2 linked regions of the Elephas maximus indicus genome follow. The protein of the gene in region 1 interacts with the protein of each later gene in a biochemical or structural test. Links are inferred from orthologs where the notes say so. Each region holds a gene or a part of one and is shown on either strand. Other genes may lie near its edges.

The links. The genes of interacting proteins can lie anywhere in the genome.
Region 2: the proteins of FCHO2 (region 1) and DAB2 form a complex in vitro, tested with the Homo sapiens proteins (2 studies listed by BioGRID). The link is inferred for Elephas maximus indicus from reciprocal best matches to the Homo sapiens genes FCHO2 and DAB2.

Annotation. Positions count from the first base shown.
Region 1 is NC_064820.1:76,967,180-76,977,700, forward strand, and holds the start of FCHO2 (F-BAR domain only protein 2), read left to right. Parts: upstream 1-6,562; 5' UTR 6,563-7,128; coding exon 7,129-7,161; intron 7,162-10,521. UniProt on the Homo sapiens protein: Functions in an early step of clathrin-mediated endocytosis. Has both a membrane binding/bending activity and the ability to recruit proteins essential to the formation of functional clathrin-coated pits.
Region 2 is NC_064820.1:45,207,715-45,218,338, reverse strand, and holds the start of DAB2 (disabled homolog 2), read left to right. Parts: upstream 1-6,735; 5' UTR 6,736-7,508; coding exon 7,509-7,589; intron 7,590-10,624. UniProt on the Homo sapiens protein: Adapter protein that functions as a clathrin-associated sorting protein (CLASP) required for clathrin-mediated endocytosis of selected cargo proteins.

The DNA of each region.
Region 1 (10,521 bases):
TGGGCACAAGCCTCTGGTTTCAGACGGGCAATATGGAGCAGTATGCTTGCTTTGTTTCGATATGCCTGCACTCTGCAGGTCCTGCTGGTAGGGAGCTGGCAATCCACAATTCTCCATGTCTGCTGTTTTTGTACAATCTGTCTTTCTACTTTACACTCAGTGTGATTCTTCAACCTTGCCCTTGATGTTCAGGGTTCCAAAGTTGTTATCTGTATCCAATTCACTTGTTTTCTTGGGTCTTTGTTGTAGGAGGAACATTATGAGGCATCTGACTATGCTGCCATCTTGGAACACCCTGCCAGTACGTTTAATAATGTCCATTTAAGAGTTAAGAAATAAGGATGAACCCCTTCAACTGCCACCACCAACACAAATACATATACTTGCCCCCTCCAAAGAAAAGAAAAGAAAAAGAAAGAAGCTATAAATAAATAGTATGGGTTTTTTTTTGACAGGATAATAACTCAATCTAAAGGATATATTAATAAATATGAAGAAAAAAATAAACATAAGTGAGATCATGCAGAAGATAATGGCTTGGTAATGTTTCTGTCTTGGAGAATATATTTGAAAATAGCTTTAAATAATGAAAGAATTGGTTTTAGCTGCAATGTGGGAAGTGAGAATAGAAAATTAGCATACATTTTCTGCACCTAAATGGAAAAAAAATAAGACTAGTTGGTGACAATTTGTTCTTGAAGCACTGTGAAGAAAAGTATATCAGGGCAGATGTCATCCAGTGAATTTTTAGGACTAGAAACAAAAAATTTTATTTTGTCACCTTTGGAGCTAGTCAGTTCTGTCCAGTGGAATTGCCTCCCTGCAAAAGATAATCAGAATTTAGTGGTCTTTCTTAAGGATTTTGACAGAGAATATCACAGCCACATTTACAGGCTGAATTTGGTTGTCTGCTTCCTTCTGCCTATAAAAAGGGACTGGCTTCTGCTACAATGGCCAGATGTCCTGTTTAGTGTGGGACAACCCTAGATTTTGACTAGAATCTGAGTTTTTGAACAATTATATTTCTTACATGTTTCAGGAATTACAGTGAGGAGAGAAAATTTTTTTAAAGGAGCAATATATAATAAATTTCCTTGAAATTTTTATGGAATTCTTGTTAGTTAGCATCCACGCTCATTTAGAGCACCTGGGATAGGCAAAAGATAACCAAGGAACAGACTTCTTTGTGGGAAGAATTGGAAACTGATAAACATTAAACTTACAAGTTAAAAACAAACAAACAAACAAAGAAACCCACAAGTAAAAGCCCAGGGTAGATGAGTCTCTCACCTTGACCAACCTTCTTCTTTTAAAGCGCTTTTTTGCTTGAGGCTTCACTTCCCTTTCTCCGTAACACTTTGTTCATGACTCTATTGTAGTGCTAAATTAATAGTAGTTTACCACTTATTAGTTATGTGACCTTGGATAATTTATTTAACCCCCAAGAGCATATTTTCTCATCTGTAAAACTGGGATAATAATTATTTTATTTTAATCACACATGAGATAATATGTGAAAGGTGCTTTAACATGCTGAACTAAATTACAGATATAATTCTTATTTTTTTTCGAATTAACTGATCAAGACTTATTTACACACTTATGGTCTGTCTTCCCACACTAATTAGGTGCCATGAGGGCAGCAAAATTATCGGTCTTGTTCACCATTGTATCCCCAGTGTCTAGATGAGGACCTAGCTCAATATAGGTATTCAATAAATGTTTGTTAAATACAGATGAATGGGAGTCCCTGCTTCCCTTCAGTCGTCTGAGAACCTCAGGGACTTTGCTTTTTACTAGTATACCGTGTTACTGCTGAAACCTGGTGCTGGTCCATCAGTGACTCAGATCCCTGATCAGGTGTCAGTGGCTCTTTGAGTGAGACCAGGCCCACTCCCTCCGTTCTAAGCTCAGCCAAGAGTGCCTCTTGCTTGGGCTTCTGTGGTTACAATTTCTGGTTGCTCCAGACTCCACTACCCCCTAGACCCTAAAACCACTGCGCTAATAATGAAGGATACCTTCAGTTAATCCAGGGCAATTTCCTTGTGAAAAAAAAAAAAGAAAAAGCATAAATTAATTTTCTTTGAGCTTATCCTTCTGGAAGAAATATTGATTCGTTTTTTTATTTAACAAATATTCATTGGGCACCAACTATGTGCCAGGTACGCTTTCAGGCACACTATTGTTATTATTATCATCATCTCTACCAATCTCCTCATCATTAGCCTATGTTAGATTGTGAATTTCTTAAGAGCTGAGATGGTGTTTTCATTTAAATAAGTACTCAATAAAAGTAATATCTATTGCCTGAATAAATGAAAGAGAGGAAAGAATCAATAAAGACTTTGAAGAATATTAGGCCCAGTTATATTTACATTCAAACAAAAACAAAGAACAACTATTTCTATTTAAGTTGTACAGTGTTATTACATTAAAATAAATTTTTAATTTTTAATATTGCCACAATATCACCACCCTGACACGTACACATTTTTTTTTTTTTTCATTTTCCATGTTTTCTTTTGATTTTTGGCCAATTGCAGGTATACTTTTACACACTTGTAGCTTTAATGTATTTTCCATTTCATTTTCAGGTTTTCCATTTACCATTAATGACACATTTTCACATTAGCATCATTATATTTTTTATTTTATGTACTGTGATTTAGTAATTCCTCTTTTCTTACTTCTGAAACCCCTGTTAGATTCCCTGTGGTCACTAACAGTGTAAATCTCTGAACAATCTGCCAGGTGTTTTTGTACTTCTTCTGAAGACAGCAAGGTAAGGGAGCCCCTGAGAAAGTACATCTCATTCTGGAAAAAGAGGTTATGCCTCAGCAGGAAGCAGGCAGTTGATCATCCTCAGGTCCACTGAAGAGAGAAGAAAGGTACGCATGGCAAACAGTGTGAATTGAAAAGGGTGTGTGGAGGGTGATGTTTAGCTCTGTTCTGCAGTTTGATTAACATGTTTCTACCCCCTCACCCTAGCACAGCAGCCTGCCTGGGCACCATCTGCTAAGCTCTTGCTTTTCTTTCTGTTTTGCACAAAGCTTTTGCTTTCAATATGCTACTATTGAGCATGAGAAAAACAAGAAAATACCAGACTTCAGGGATCTGCCTGTTTCTCTTCTCCCTTATAGAGCTCAGGTCTTTTGCCACTTGTTACTGTCAAGTATGAGTACAGAGGACAACTATATCTGGTGCTGCTCCTTGAAGAAATTAGCAGGAAACAAGAGGGGTTTGTGAGAGCTTCTCCTCTGCCATTCTACTTTTGGAAACAAATGGAAGTACATTTGCAAAATTATATTGAATATAAATGGGAAAATGTGTTTTACTTTATAGCCAACTCTTCTGGAATAGAACTAATTTTAAGTGAAGTTATAAGGAAATGACCCTTGTGACTAAATGTTGATTACTGTGCTGTGGGCTGTGAACCCAGGACTGGAAATGGGAGGAGACTAAAATAAGAAATGAAAAGGGGAAGGTTCTCTGGATTCCTTGCCTAAGAGGTTGGGACCTGTCTTGGAGACAAGCTATATTTTGTAAACCAGGAAATGTAGATTTATTTTGCGTTAATTTCTCCTCTTATTTGTGTTAATTTCTTCTTTTACTTGCTGCCACTTTTATCGAGTTATGTTTTAACAGATCATGTGTGGTATAGGCTATGATGTAATATTTGGGCCAGAGTTCAATGGAAAGCAATAGCACCCCTGGAAACCAACATGTTGGTGGCAGGTGTAACAGAGAGAGACTCTCTGAGGAAGATGAACCTGGAGGTGGAAACAACCAAAAATTGAAGGTCATATTGTTTAGGGGAGCCAAATCTTAAATATTATTTCAATTTTATTACAAAAGGTAGTTTTGTCCTTTTAAGAAGTATGCTCAAGCCTAAAAGAATTCTTCTGAAAATATGTAATGTGAGAAAATAAAACAATGAAAATTTTACAGGCTCTAAGATCTAGAACCAATTAGGGATATGAATAAAAGAAGAATGGAGTTTTTACATATCCAAGGTTTCATCCATGTTGACGTTTCTATGGTAGGCTCAATCACTCATCCGTTCTTTCACTGAACATTCACTGAGTAGTCACACATGTAGTGATAGGTATTATAGGCACTGAGTTAAACACTGTTGTTACCTATGTCAGTTTTAATAATTTTAAAATGTGTTTGGATAAGCAAGGGCTAAGCTTGTGCGGCACAAATATTTTAAGGTATCTGGGTGAGCTACCCCTCAGGGCCTTATCTATACTCTGCCAGAGAGTATATGCATCCCTGGAAACCTCACTTCAGAGGACAGAAGCTGGCTGATACCAACCACATTCTTCTATGCTATACTCTTTCATCTGAAATTTAGTCACCTTAATGACTATTCAGTACAGAGTCCTACAACTTACCTACCAGACTTTAAAGAATATGGGGTTTGGGCTCTAATGAGCCTTACAAATACCTGAAATACACAGAGTATTTATCTTTATGGCAGGCACGCCTCTTTTATGGGACCAGAGATAAGCATGCAAATAGGCATCTCCTGTGAATACTATGCTAAATTGTACTTTTGGAACCACAAATTGAGACCCTATTATTGTTACCTGCCATTGAGTTGGTCCCCAGCTCGAGGTGACCCCAGACACAATGGAATGACATGTTGCCCAGTCTCCCTCATGGAAGCTGAGAATTCTACCATGAACCACTAATGCCTCAAATTGGGACATTCCAAAAAAAAATCAAACCCACTGCTGTCGAGTCCATACCGACTCTTGGTGACCCCAGAAGACAGAGTAGAACTGAGCCTTAGGGTTTCAAGGCTATAAATCTTTACAGAAGCAGACTGCCACGTCTTTCTCCTATGAGGGATCTGGTAGGTTCAACCTCTTAGAACCTTTTGGTTAGCTGCTTAGTGCTTTAACCACTGCACCACCAGGGCTTCTAATTGTGACACTCCAGATTTAGAGAAGGAAAATCTATACTTGACACTACTGGGGAACTATGCTTTGTTATACAAGAATCTATTGCATTCAAGCTGAGAGGATGGATTTGACAAATCAATAAGTCTTCTCTTTACCTAAGCACTTCTGCTGCTCAAATTCTACATGAAGTCCAAAATAATCTATCTCTGTTAGCAGCCATATCCCACAGACTCTCACTGCATTTGGAACCTACCTTTTGTTTTGAGGACATTAGGCAGAGATGTGAAGCTGAGTGTTTCTCTGGGACCTGAATGGTTTGGTCGTGGGAGCGTATTTAGGGTTATGGGTCGTACTGTGCCAGTGTTCAACATCAGATCATGAGTGACAGAGGCACAATATATTTCATTTTTTTAATAAGTGAATGTGTGTATGTGTGTTTGTGATATGTTGGGTTCTTTGAAGCATAGGGCCAATGATAGTGACCTGTCTTGCCTGCACCTAAGGGTGATAGTACTTAAGATATCAGGAATTTAATGGCAAACTCATTTGCAGGGTAATCTAGACAGCTGTTATCTTTTTAGTACGTCTTCCGCATCAAGAAAGATAGCACTAGGTTGATGACTTGGAAAGCGCTGTAGTATATTTCTAAGTTTGACTTTCCCCTAGACTATGTATAAATGGCATTGTTAAAAAGACTTTAAAAATACAGCTTAATGAAAGAAATAGCATTTTCCAATGTAGTCCAAACTTTTAAAAAAGCCTTTATCCTGGTAAATCTCAAATACATACAAAAATGGAGAAACTAATGTAATGAACCACCGTGTTTCCATCACCCAGCTCCAACAATTATCAACTCATGGTCAATCCTGTTTCATCTATATTCCTACTCATCCCCTCTTCCTCAGTAAATTATTTTGAAGCAAATCATAGATGTCTTATCATTACATCCTATATATCCCTAAAAGATACTCTTTAAAAGATATAGCCACAAAACCACTATCACAACCATTCCCAATTCAACACTTACTGGTTTCATCTATGTGAAAGGCACTGCACGGTTTTTACTTTGGAGGATGAAAATAATTTCCCATGAAGAAATAGTTTTATAGTGTTCATTATGTTTAAAGTTACAAGACCTGAGATGCGGTGTGCATGTACATATATAGTATAGCGTACACTAAAGCTATTTGTGGGGCTTGGCTTCAAAGGCTATAGATTCCGAACCTAGCTTTTGATAGAACTAGACTTTCCTACACTTTTGGCAAATGACCTGGTGATAGTGAACGTGAGACCTCAACAAAAGTTTAACTTTTTTTTTTTAGCTTTTGGAAAGCAAGGCGTGGGAAGAGGATTTAGTTTCTCTGTGAGGTCGAGGCATGTTAAAACTTGCTTCTTTTTCCAAAATGTACAAGTTGCTAAGAACCATGGACTCTTACGAACAAGTCCTGAAAGAGTTTTTTTTTTTTTTTAAACTGCATGGGTCAGGGAAATTCATTCCTTTCGGGTCACGTTCCTGCTCTTGGCTGTCTGGGCCGGTTTGCTCCAGGCGTGCTAGAGGTCAGGGACTCGGGCTGCTCTGGATCTCGCGCAGCTCCTGTGGCTCTCAGGCGACACTGGGCGTTTCCTCCTTTTCCGGCCTCGGAAAGTTTTGTTTTGGCTCTTAGTTCCCGGTCAAGGAAAGGCACCCTGTTAACTCGAAGTTTCTCAGCGTCGCCTCAGGTGGCTAGAGGCCAAGTTGCCTCCATTCCAGCTTGCCTAGACTTTGGTCCACTCGGGATCTTTGAAGGCCAGGGGAACTAGCCTTGTGAAGAAGGCGGGCTTCACTGCCGCCAGCCGGCCCCTCCCTAGGTTCGATTCCTGGCCAGTATCGTCACACTGCAGAGGGATCGGGCAGTCTCCCCAGTGACTCCTCAGGGACATGGTTTTCCACCACTCCCAAGAGAATACTCAAATCTAGCCGCGCCCAGGCTGGGGCGAGATGAAAGCGACCAAAACCCGGGAATAGATCCCAGGGCGCATGCGCTCAACGAGGCTGTGTAGTCCAAGTTTTCGCCCGGCGGCAGTAGCCGCTAGGTGGCGCATGCGCCCTGAAGGCTGAGGGCCGGTCACTGAGAAGAAGGCGGCGGCGGCGGCGGCGGCGCCGTGGGGGCCGGGTCCGTGTTTACACAGTGGCGGGCAAGCGGACGGGCGCGGACGCGGAACCCGGCGCGGCGGCACGATGGTCATGGCGCATTTCGTTGAGAATTTTTGGGTAAGAGAAGTATGTTGGAAATTGTGTGGGTTTCGGTGTCGGACACTGGGTGCCTGACGTCGGCCTGTGTATGCGAGGGGCGGTGGCGGCTCCCCCGGCAGGGCGAGCGTCCTTGGACCGCCTTCTTCTGGGTCCCGCCTGGCTGCGGCTCTCCCGGCCGGCTACGGGTCGTCCGGCCTGCTACGGGTCGCCGGGCGACCCGGACGCCTAGGGACGCTGCCGTGCCGGGGACGGGGGCTATCAGCGTGGTTCCACAGCCCGCGGCGAGGACGCCGAGGGGCCGCTGTTCTCCTGGGCTCAGGACAAAGCGCCGGATGGGGCGGGAGACGGGACTCGGCCCCACCGGAGGCTCCCGGCGCCGGGCGCGCTCCGCAAGGGGTGTGCGCGGCGGCTCGGACGCGAAGGACGGGCGGGCGACGCGGCCGCCTCCCGTTGCGCGCAGCCTGGGAGCGCAGGCTAGAGCCGGGTGGAAAGGCGACCAGCTGCCGTCTCGCACCACAGGCCCCCATCTTATCCCCTTTGCCCCCCACCATTTCCACGCGAAATCCCGTGCTGGGTTGGGCTGGATAAGCACTTCCTCTCGGCCTCGCAGCTCAGCTCGTTGGTCTGTGCCCAGTATTTGCCTTTGGGCCTGTTCACAAAGCATATAGAATTTGAATTTAATACAAGTGAACTGGTTGGGCTTAAATGTACTAAGACCTCGCTTTATCCCCTGCGCTCTTTCCCGTTCCTCATTCTTTCCACACCCCTCTTCTTAGTATTATATTCTCTTTTGAGAATGACTTCTCACTTTCCCTGTGGGATGTTTTTCTGCAGTTATTGTTTGTTGTAATGGCAAGTACAGTTCAGGCCATGTACAGGAAAGTAGCTTGTTTACTCACGTATTTTGGCTGAATTTTATTTTTATGTCCTGACAGTTGCAGATACTGCACTTCCATTTTAATTAAGATTTAGAAATATTTAAAGGAGAAATATTTCCGTTAGTAAGGAATGTATCCTAAATTCTTAATTCTAAGTATCTCAAGCATGGACTCGCTTGGTGATCAAATCGATTAATAGTTCTTTGTCTTAAATTTTACTCGTTTTCCAGAAGCAACATAATACTAGACATCTAGGTTGTTTTTTTTTTTTTTTTTACCATACAATAAACTTATTTAAAGTGTACAATGCAGTGGTTTTTAATATGTTCACAGAGGCGTGCAACTATCACCACAATCAATTTTAGAACAATTTTATCACTCTAGAAAGAAACCCCGTACCCATTAGCAGTCATACCCCATTTCTTTTCCCCCCAGGCCTTGGCAACCACTAATCCACTTTGTGTCTGTATAGATTTGCCTATTTTGAACATTTTGTATAAATGGAATCTCATAGTATATGGTAATTTGTGACTGCCTCCTTTCACTTAGCGTGTTTACAAGGTTCATGTTGTAGCATGAATCAGGACTTCATTCCCTTTTATTGCTGAGTAATATTCCATTGTATGTATAAAAAAAATGTATAGACCACATTTTATTTATCCATTATCAGTTTATGGACATTTGGGTTATTTCCAGTTTTTGACTGCTCAGAATAATGCTGTTATGAACATCTGTATGCAAATTTTTTGGGTGGACACGTTTTTATTTCTTTGAGGAACATGTTTTTATTTCTTTGAGGTATATAGCAAAGGAGTGGAACTGCTAGATCATAGGGTAGACTCTAACATTTTGAGAATTGCCAAACTATTCTTGAGAGTGGCTGTGCCATTTTACAAGTCCGCCAGCTATGTCTGAGGGTTCCCGTCTTTTTCATATTAGCTATCGTAGTGGGTGTGAAGAAGTAGTTCATTGTAGTTATGATTTGCAATTCCCTGATAACTAAAGATGTTGAGCATCTTTTCATGTGCTTATTGCCTGTTTATATATCTTCTTTGGAGCAATGTCTGTTCAGATTCATTGCCCGTATTTTAATTGGGTTGTCTTTTTATTATTGCGTTGTAAGGCTTTTAAATATATTCTGGTTACAAGTTTCTTATCAGATATATGGTTTGTAAATGTTTCATCTTATTCTATGGGTTGTCTTTTCACTTTCTTAATGGTGCCTTTTGAAGCAGAAGTGTTTTTGATGAACTCCAATTTATCCCTTTTCTTTGATCAGTTGTGCTTTTGTTAAAAAAAATTATTCCATTGTTGAAAATATGCAAGGAAAACATACACCAGTTTAACACCTTCTACCTGTACAAGTCAGTGACACTGATTACAGTCTTTGAGTTGTGCAGCCATTCTCACCCTCCTTTTCTGAGTTGGTCCTCTCCCTTTAACATAAACTCACTGCCCCCTAAGTTTCCTATCTAATCTTTCGAGTTGTCATTGTCAGTTTGATCCCATATAGATAGATATCACTTATGCTTTTGGTGTCCTATCTAAAACCCTTTGCCTAACCCAAGATTACAAAGATTTACTTCTATGTTTTCTTCTATTTTTATTTTTTTTCTTCTATGTGTTTTATAGTTTTAGCTCTTACGTTTAGGTTTATGATCCACTTGGAGTTAATTTTTGTGTATGGTGCAAGGAAGAGGTATAACTTCATTCTTTTGCATGTGGCTGTCCAGATGTCCCAGCACCATTTTTTTAAAAGACCACCCACCCCCCTTTGAATACTCTTGGTATCATTGTTGGAAATCAATTGATGATAAAAGAGCATTTATTTCTGGACTCTCAATTCTATTCCATTGTCCATCTTTATTACAGTGCCACACTGTTTTGATTATTGTAGCTTTGTAGTAAGTTTTGGAATGGGGAAGTATGCATCTTCCAATTCAGTTCTTCTTTTTCAAAATTGTTCTGGCTATCCAGGGTCCCTTGCATTTCTGTATGAATTTCAGGATCAGTTTGTCAATTTTAGCTATTAGGTTTTATAATTGCAATTTTTAAAAACACTTATCAAGATTGTTTACTACAAGATAATTGACGTTCTTATAAATGCTTTACATTTTTTTTGATTTATGAATGTGTTTTTGAAGTTTGCTAACTTAATTCTTAATTGCATCTTAACATTTTAAAATTGTTTTGTTTTTTGTTAATTGAGCTTTGAGCATAGCTTTGTTTGATGTTTTTGACTATTATAATAATGTTTCTGTGAACATTTTTAAAAATTTTTATTGTACTTTAAGTGAAAGTTTTACAAATCAAGTCAGTCTCTCACACAAAAACCCGTATACACCTTGCTACATACTCCCAATCGCTCTTCTCCTAATGAGACAGCCCGCTCCCTCCCTCCACTTTCTCTTTTCGTGTTCATTTCTCCAGCTTCTAATCCCCTGTACCCACTCATCTCCCCTCCAGGCAGGAGATGACAACATAAACTCAAGTTTCCCCC
Region 2 (10,624 bases), about 32 Mb from region 1:
GTTGGGTCTTATCCATTATCCAGCTTTTGAATGCATATGACACAATTGGAAATACCATGCATTTGGTCAGGTGCACCTTAGTTCTCAAGGTGACATCTTTGCTATTTAACACTTTATGGAGATCTTTTGCTGCGGATTTGCCCAATAAAATACATCATTTGATTTTTCGACGGCAGCTTCCACGGGTATTGATTGTGGATCCAAGTAAAATGAAATCCTTGACAACTTCAATCTTTTCTCCGTTTATCATGATGTTGCTAATTGGTCCAGTTGTGAAGATTTTTGTTTATGTTGAGGTGTAACCCATACTGAAGGCTGTGGCCCTTGATCTTCATCAGTAAGTGCTTCAGGTCCTCTTTACTTCCAGCTAAGTAGGTTGAATATCTCAGGTTGTTAATGACTCTTTTTCCAATCCTGATGCACAGTTCTTCTTCATATAGTCCAGCTTCTCCGATTATTTGCTCAGCATACAGATTGGATAAGTGTGGTGAAAGGATACAAACCTGACGCATACCTTTCCTGACTTCAAACCATGCATTATCCCCTCATTCTATTGGAAGCACTGCCTCTTGATGTATGTACAGATTCCACATGAGCACAATGAAGTGTTTTGAAATTCCCATCCTTCTCAATGTTAGCCATAATTTCTTATGACCCACACAGTCGAATGCCTTTGCATAGTCAACAAAACACAAGCAAACATTTTTCTGGTATTCTCTGCTTTCAGCCATGACCCATCTGACATCAGCAATGATATACCTTTTACCACGTCCTCTTCTAAATCAACTTGAATTCCTGGCAGTTCCCTTTCAATGTACTATTGTAACGGTTTTTGCATGATCTTCTGCAAAATTTTACTTGCATGTGATATTAATGATATTGTTCAATAATTTCTGCATCCTGTTGGATCTCCTTTCTTGGAGTGTATACAAATATGGATCTCTTCCAGTCAATAACAGCAGATAAGAAATCAAATAACACATCATTAGCAGATCAATGGGTGATAACCTCCAGATGGAGAGCTCTGGTAAAACTGGGTTGAAGCACACTGTACATGAGCCCAGAAAACCCCTATTCTGTCTTCCATGTCAAGTTGTACCCACAACACTGACCTGTCCAGCTCATTTGAGATATGCAAAGTACACATATTATAGCCTTGTTGAGCCATGTCCAGATGGCCCATATTAGCAGAAGAAGCAGGGCAGAGCATAGCCCTAGTGATCCAGTGCCAGCAATGTAAAGCAATTTCAGCAACATGATTTTTGAACCTCTATAATCAGTGGTTAAGCTTTTGATTACTAACCAAAAGGTCAGAAATTCGAATCCACCAGCTACTTCTTGGATAACCCTATGGGGTAGTTATACTCTGTCCTATACGGTCACTATGAGTCAGAATCAACTAGACAGCCATGGACTTTTTTTAATAGTTCCCACAAACCACAATTTCAAGGTCATGTCCTTCCACTCATAGAAGTGAATTAAAGGAGAAAGTTAGATTCCAGTGTTCCTGTTCTGTACAGTTTATGGTAGGTCTAGAGGTCATCCTAGAGAGCTGGGGTGGAATGTGAATTTCTTCCCCCATATAGTAGGCTGGGTGTTAAAGTTGAGATGACTATACTTTTCATGTCAATTAATCCAACTCAAAGCCCCATGCGTCCATCTTTGGAAAAATTCCACCTAGTCAAAAGGGTGCAGGCCTATTCGAACATTATTTACTTTCTGAGAATCTGAGTTAAGTGTAAGGAGGGATTCTAGGATCAATCCTTTGTGCATGTCTTTGTTGCTGCAAGCGTATAACTTGTGCCCAGCTTCACCAAGAGGCTGGATCATACTCTACGAGTAGTTTTTTTTGTTTTTTTGTTTTTTTTTTTAGGAGTATAGTTTTTCTAGCCCTAGTAAACTAAATGTTCAAACTAATAGTTATTGTACTGAAACAAGTGAGTAAAAATATAGTTGCAAAATTGATCATAAACTTAAGAATTCAACTCGTGAGCACTTTTCAGAAACTTGTAGTCAATTGGGTGGCACAGCTCAGACTAGAGAATGGGCCCCCATTTGACCTGCAGTGAGTTCCTTTTGGAAACCCTGGTGGCATACTGGTTAAGTGCTATAGCTGCTAACCAAAAGGTTCGCAGTTCAAATCCATCAGATGCTCCTTGGAAACTCAATGGGTCAGTTCTACTTTGTCCTATAGGGTCACTATGAGTCAGAATCAACTCGACGGCAATGGGTTTGGTTTTCGTTTTGGGGAGCTCCTTTTAAAGCTTGAATTCTCCTAAACACTCTTTCTAATGATGACTGTTCCTTAAGCTGTACTAGATATATTCCTAATAAAAGCTTATTTTAAAAGCAAAGTGGGTGGGGGTGGGTAGAAAATTAGGAGAAGTCATTTACAATGAGTCGAGTGTATTCAAAGTTGGCAACTCAAGAACTCAAACTTCCTACATGGCTTTAGAAGAAAAAAAATATCTAAAAGGCCAAGCACTGAATAGTAGAGAGTGTACTGAAATAAATTTGAATTCTTTGATCTGTGAGTTGCATCTTTGACCTAGCCGAATGCTTTCTTCCAAGGAGCCAAATCAACATTAATGAGTCAGTTTGACCAAGTCTAGCTACTGCTACCAAGATAGAAAAAACTCCAGTGACAATGTATAATTAGACCATATCAAATCCCTCTACTGTTGTAGCTCAGAAACCAAATGAAAAGCTGAATGAAATGCCATGTTCAAAATACTCTGCTAAGCTACCTTCCTGTTCTTTGCTTGGTATATCTATTAAAAAGAAGGCAAGATTGGTTCAGTCTTTATGTAATGCGTTTTGTACAGTCTGCTTAAAAAGAATTTAGAAACAAACTGACACATACAATGTCTAGGAATAGGGAAATAGGGTCCCATGCTATAGGATCTAGATCTTTACTAATACTGGCTCTATCCCCAAGTAGACGAGTCATATACTTTCTTGCCCTCAGTGTCCTAATATTTAAAAGGAAAGGATGAGACCAAATTATTCCCTAGGTTTCTTCCAGCTCAATAGTTTAACACACTTGGTATGTCTTTAAGGGGACAAAAGATTGTTGAAGTAGACCAGTGGTTCTCACACTTGTCTGTACATTGGAGTCACCTGGGAATCCTTAAACTGTATTGATACCTTGGTCTCCTCCAGAGATTCTGATTTAATTTATTTGGAGGACATCTCTATCTTAAAAACTACATCTTAAAAACTCCCCAGGTGATGTGAGGTAGACCTTCTAAACTGTCGATAGTCATGATGCAGGTTTGGGTTTGACTTGGGATCCATTAGGACAGGCCTCTCTGGGTAACTTAGATTTTGTTCCTAAAGTTCTGTTCCCATCAGAACCTATCTTCTGTAGGCTGAGAAGCCAGAGCTGGGCAGGAGGTAGCTCTAACATTAGCAAACCCTCTTACCTTTTCACCTGGAGCTTTCCTAATTAAAGTATTATCCCTATGTGTTTCCACTTCTACTTATTAGTCCTAGCTCTTAAAGTTCTAAATGCGTTTAAACACTTGTGGCTAAAGCTATGTTGGATGCAACACAAGATTCTGGTGTCTCTGAAACCTAACTTCTGTTTAATGAGCACTTTCTGTATGCAGTGCACGGAAGTCTCTACATAAATTCTTACTGATTTCCGTATAATGGCTCTGTCAGCTATATTCCATTGTACAGGTGAGGAAATTCATATCAGATAAGTTGCCTCCAGCCACAGAGCTAAAAGACAGTGCATTCCAGGTGTATGGGATGCCGAAGCCTGAACTCTTAGCCACTTCGCTATACCATGTTGTCTTAGTTTCTTAGTGCTGCTGTAACACAAATACCACAAGTGGTTGGCTTTAAGGAATAGAAATTTATTTTCTCACAGTTTTGGAGGCTAAAAATCCAAATCAGGGTCTCAGCCTTGTCGATTCCATCTTTATAGGTAGTCCCAAGTGTTCCTTGGTTTGTAGACAACCTCATGTTGTCTGTTTTCCCTGTGTCTGATCTATTCTTCATAAACTCAGAAGTGATTAAGTTTAGGATTCACCCTACGCTGCTATGATTGATCACATTACATCAGATTGCATTATGGAAAGTGGTTACATTAGATTACGTCCATCAGTATAGGGGTTAGGATTCCAACATAAATTTTGAGGGGATAGAGTCTAATCCATAACACACCTCTACTCAAAATCTACTGGTTGGGGAACTCCAACTCTGATTTGGCTTGGTTCCAAAGGTGGGGAAAAGCGTCTTGGTTCAGGATTTCATATGCCCTCTGAGTCCTCAGCAATGTTTCCAAGGGCCACAAACAGTGATACGTCCTTGCTGTAAATACGTAACTTGTGTATAGTTCGTTGATCCCAGCATATTCTGCTACTGAGGCCCCTACAGCAGCATCAGCATTTACAGGAAAATCTTCTTAAGGAATCCTTTTCAGGGTGTGTTAACATAGTCTTATTCCCCAGTTAAACAGGCTGCAAAACTCTTACTGTCTGCTCAACTTGGCCCTTCTAAAAGCATAGGCATCCAGCAGTTAAGGGGGGGAGGAAACAGCATAACTTCGCTGCAGCATCTCGGGCAAGGTCCCTTATTCTGAAAAGGCTGCTTTGAAGATAGTGGTGAAGGCTGTTTGCTGGCCTCTTGGCCCCTGAGATTTGCCTTAAAGGTTAATATTTCACATGTTCTAATTCAGCACTTCAGCTGAGGCAGGCATAAGGTTCCAAAGGACAAGGAAACACATACACTGACCAGGACAAAGTACCAGACATTCTAGCAAAGACGTTTATATTGCTTTGTCTTGACTCTCCTTGCTTCTCTTTTCTGTGTCCATTTTGTGTGGCTCTTTCTGAAAAGTTAATTAGTATGTTAAAGTCAGTGGGTTTCTGGCTTTTTGAAAACACCCTATAAAATGCAGATGAAAATCGATGGGATTTTTAACTGTGCTTACCTGTGTTATTCCATCTGATTCACAATGGGTTGCTAAGATTTCTGTAAAACAAAGCAAGACAAGAAAAGAGAGCACATACAGAAGAAAAGGGAATCTAGGCAAGGCTCAGTTTTGAGCTCAGCAACTTATTAGCTATTGATCCTGGTTTGCCCAGCCCATTTCATTATTCATTAAATGGCGGCAATACATCTTTTTTCATAGGGCTGACATGTTTTAAGTACTTGGTATATTAGGTGTTTCCCCCATTCCCCTTAACATTAAAAACAGATTCTATGTCATCTGTGGAATGGTGCTGCCATCAAATAAGTCCTTAACTCAAGTTATTTGTTTTATCCACATTCTGAGACTGACCAAATTCCTGCTCACTCTGTATAATTACGGTAAGAAGGTACACTGGGGTTGGGGGTCAGGGGTGAGTTATAGAAGAGACAGACTTGTATGTGTCATCATATTGCTTCAGAATCCTAGAATGGTTAAGTACCAGCATTGTTGATACCATTACATTCCTGCTGGTGGGAAGGATACGGCAGTATAAAAAAAAGTGCCAGCCCACTCTGTCCCTGCAAAGCCCAGATTGACCAGTGTCCATCATGCTGGCAGTTCCAGAGTTCTAGACATTTTGCATGAATCACTTTAAGTAAGGGACAAACTATAGCTGATTCTTGTTAGTACAAATGGCACAGTCATCCCAAGATGACTCATGTAGTCTTCCAGCCTACATCTCTTGGAGCTTTCTCAGAATCCAGGAAAGATGTTGCAAGCTCTCGAATCTCTCCTAGTCATCTGATTCTAGTGACATGGAAGGAGGAAGTCCCCAGGTTCTTTCAGGGAGGTTTGTATTAAGTCCAAAATCCAAGTTAGATATCTTCACTCAAATGGGACATAATTTTATGGACTTACATTCCATTTACAATTTTCTGTTTAATGTGAGGCCTTAAAAATAAGTCAAGAATATACAATACATTGAGATCCTCATGTTTGCAGTTGTTGCTTCTTATTTCTCTGCTCAAGCTTCTAGTGGAGACAGCCTGTCGCAGAGGACTACAATAACTAACCAAGCTTAGATGGGAAACTGTGAACCTTTGTGCATGTTTTGAGCTCTGGTTTGTAACCCCTGCCTTAATGCCTTGTGTATGTTACTTGACTAATTTTGTGCTCCTTGTTTAGAAAGGCCCCTGGGACTAAACCCAACAAATGAGAAGGCTGTTTGCCACTTGATTTTCCTACATCCACTTGTGCCCTCTTTGCATACTAGAGCTTGAAAGCAGCTCTCATAGTTTAGTGTAACCTAGATACTTCCTTCAACAGCACCTAGTCTGGAAAGGTAATTAAAGGAAATAACTGAGAATTGTTCTGCCCTTAGGATCCCTTTACCAGGACTGATCTCTTTCCAAAAATCAATTCATTCTAAAACCTGCTGAAGCAAATGGGCATGACTGACAATTCTGTAACCATGTTGGAAGGATTGTGCTTTCGAATGTTGGAGTTAAGCTGATTATTCTCAGCAAAGGGAAGCAAATCTGGAAGCAAGCCTTCTATCATCTACCACTTGGACTTTGGAAAAGTCCGTGATGGGGGGGCTCGCTCTTTAAGCCTGAGGAGAAAGGTGAATGTTATCACCCTGGTACATGATATACACACACACAGTTTTGTTAAAGTCTTTCTTTAAGCCTTTCACATTGTTTTGGAAATGGAGTTTATTTTTGAATCTTGGAGTCTATGAGCAGAGCTTACTTTCTGCTTATTTTGGGGATTATAGATACATTTCTGGAAACCCTGGTGGCTTAGTGGCTAAGTGCTACGGCTCCTAACCGAAGGGTTGGCAGTTCGAATCCGCCAGGCACTCCTTGGAAACTCTATGGGGCAGTTCTACTCTGTCCTGTAGGGTTGCTATGAGTCAGAATTGACTCTACGGCAATGGGTTTTGGTTTTTGGTTAGATACATTTCTAATTTGTATGGCCTCTATTGGAGACCTACTATAATAGTTATTGCAATCTAACATGCCGAGCCCTTTTCCCCAGGAATTAATGATAAAGGTACTTTTTCTCCCTTGTCTTTTGTAACTGCCCTATCATCCGAAAACAGACTCTTTGGTTCAGTGAAAGGATATAAACGAAGGATACCAAACACCTTTAAAACAATTCCAATGCTGCAAAAAAAGTTAGACTTAAATGTCCAAAGAGCAAACTTTTTGCTGTAAAACCAAGATCACCCCTCTCGCTTAGAATCCTTCCATTTCGGCCCAGTCCTCCAATAAATACTAGGTAGTTTTTATACCTGGTCTTAAGTAGTGAGATTACTGTGCCTTTTATAACTTTCTTGAATGAACCCATATGCTTCCATTCCCTCCCCCAGGCCTCTCAAAGTACTTGGTCACATTTCTCAAATTCCTTTAAAATATTTCACTTTAGAATCAAAATTGCCAAACTTAATAAGCTTAGTTTTTTCTGGTCAGAAATAATATCTGGTAGGAGAGTGCGATATCAAGTTTCAATGATGAGAAACAATCTCTAATGCCTAGGTTATTTTTTCAGCCAATCCAATCCTGGACCATCTATCTAGCCCATGCCTGCAACCCATGTGTTGTTGAACTTGACATTGCCTAATCAAGACAGATTTGAAGAAATAGCTGCCCAAATACTTCAGGTATTCTCCATAAATAGAAACCATTTTGGAATACTCTTTTGTAGTTCTTGTACTGGATTCAAAGTGGGTATTTTAAACTGTGTAAATATAGCCTTGGAAGCCAAAAGAATATAGTGTAATTTTTTTTCAATTTTTTAAACAGATTTACTTGGGCAAAATTTATACACCATAGAATTTACCTTCTGTAAGTATACATTTTTAGTACTTTTATAAAGTTATGCAGCTATCACCACAATCAAGTTTAAGAATATTTTCATCACCCCCCCAAATCTTTTTTTTTTTGTCATTAATCTCTGACCCTACCCACAGCCCTAGGCAACCACTGATATGTTTTCTATTTCTATAAATTTGCCTTTTCTGGACTTTTCATATAAATGGAATCATACAATATATAGCCTTTATGTCAGGCTCCTTTCATCCAGCATGTTTTTGAGGTTCATCCGTGTTGTAGCAGGTATCAGTAGTCCTTTTTACTGCTGATAATATCCTGTGTGTATGGACGTACCACATTTAGTCTGTATCTCTTCACCAGCTGATGGGCATTTTCGTTGTTTCCAGGTTTTAGCTACTTTGAACGATGCTGCTCTTAAATATTTGCATTCATGTCTTTGTGTGGATTTGGCTTTTCATTTTTTTTGCCTAGGTTCCTAGGAGTGGGATGGCAGGGCTGTGTGGTGAATTTATCAGTTTCGTACTTTATATATACACATAAATATATATATATATATTATTTTTTTGTAAAATATGTATAACAAAAACTAAACCCATTGCTGTCGAGTCAGTTCCAACTCATGGCAACCCCGTATTTACAGAGTTGTATTGCTCCATAGGTTTTTCTTGGCTCAGTCTTCATGGCAGCAAATTGCTGGGTCTTTCTTCTGTGGCACTTCTAGGTAGATTCAAACCACAAACCTTTAGATTAGTAGTCAAGTGCAAACCGTTTATACCACCCCCCCCCCAAAAAAAAACCCATTACCATCTAGTCGATTCCGACTCATAGCAACTCTATAGGACAAAGGAGAACTGCCCCATAGGGGAGCGGCTGGTGGATTTGAACTGTCAACTTTTTGGTTAGCAGCCGAGCTCTTAACCACTGTGCCACCAGGGCTCCCTTATACCACCTGGAGACTTTATATATAACAAAACATTTGCCTTTTGAACCATTTTTAAGTGTACAATTCAGTGATATTAATTACATTCACCTCATTGTGCAGCCATCACTGCTATCCATTTCAAGTCACAACACAATGTAGTTTTTAATAACACATAAATGGATCGATTGCATTTAGGATGTTTTTCAAGAAGAGTTTTCCAGCCTATAAAATCAAAACAGATTAACATTACCATTATTATCAGTTAGAGTCCAGTCAGGAGAGAAACCACATCGGTGATTGAAGTAGATCTTAATGTAAAGAGCTAACTAGGTATAAAGTTGTTATCTAGATAGCTGAGAGGACAAAGAGAACCCTAAGTCATAAAAAAAAAAAAAAAAGTCATAACTGGTAAGCAAACTACAGAAATCACTACCACCCCAACCCTGAAGGGACAAAGAGATTAGAATCATCAAACCTCAGAAGCTAGGAGGTGGGGGCTGCTGCTCCAACCTTTGAGAAGGGACTGCTGCTCAGCTATTGCTGGTGTCCCTGCATTCTGGGGAAGGGCACTGTTGGCCGGAGACCCCGACCTCTGGAGAGAGCACTGGGGAACTGATGCTGGTGTCTCAGAGGGGGACATAATAAGGCTAGTTCAGCAAGTGGTGGAAATGCTGAAGACTGGATTCAGTGGCTGTTATGGAAAGGAACTGTTGCTGCCTGGGTGAAGGAGCACTGCTAGAGTGCCACAGGAGCTGGAGGCCCTGAGAAAGCCCATGTGAAGCAAATCAGAATGTGCAAGTCCCTTCTCCAGCTTGGCAGCCTCCCTCTAGCACCCCCTATTGGCAGAGTCACCATGCAGCCAGCTGGCAAAGCAGAAATGTTGGCAGAGTTCCAGCCATAGCTTCACAAAGCAGGTATAGAAAGGTGATTCTGAAGTTGAGACAACTGGCACGGACCACCCCGTTAGCTACTCAGCATCCACACATACCCTTCTGCACCTGTGAACTTCTCCCCTACAACAAAATAAGTGTTTCCATCCAAAAAAAATTCAACTATCCTTTGTTCAAAGGAAGACTTTCTCACCCTCTTCCCAAACTGAGGAGCTGAAACGTTCCAGTATTCATTGTATCCATCCTGGTGGAAATAGTATCTTTGGGCTGCATTAACCACTCCTCGAGTTTTGCCACAGTCCCATCTGAATAATCTGCTACCCAAAGACTGAATTGTACATTTAGTATCCATACAATATTAAAGAAAAAGGAGAAAAGATAAGAAATAGGTAATGCGTAGAAATGTATGCATCCAACGAGGAAGGAAGGAAGAAAATAGGCATAGCTACAACAGTCCTTGTTACCATTCACGGGAATGACTTGTGTATGCTAACACTGAGAAAGGAGCCTTCTGCCTTACAAGTTTATAGTTCATTAGGTGGACAGACAGGTAAATAGACTCATGAAAGCCATGCAACAGCTATGTGTATTTGGAAGGGAGGAGGTCTTACTTACTGTCTCAGAGACAAATAGATAATTGAGATGGGCAGGTATGGGGAGTGGGGGGAGAAATTAAAACGGAAGACACTTCTAGGAGAAATGAGTACCTACAGGTTGGTGTATGGGAGTGAAAGGAAATAAGGTGCATAAGGAGGAGCAAAATCTTGAAGAGCCTCACATCCAAAGCTGAAATCTAAATAAATTTGTCCTAAATGCAAAGGAGAGCCACTACAGGATTAAGCAGGCAAGTTTCAAACTTTATTCCTAAATTTAGAAAAACTGCATTTAAAAAAAAACCAAATCACAATTCAGCATAGAGAAACCAGAAACCATGGACTGGAGCATCATGGTTTTCGTGAGAGAAAAAAGTAGGGAGAAAAAAATCTCCCAAAAAGGTTGAAAACCAGAGTAATTGTATTTGATCAGGAGACCATCAGCAGTTGAAGCTGAC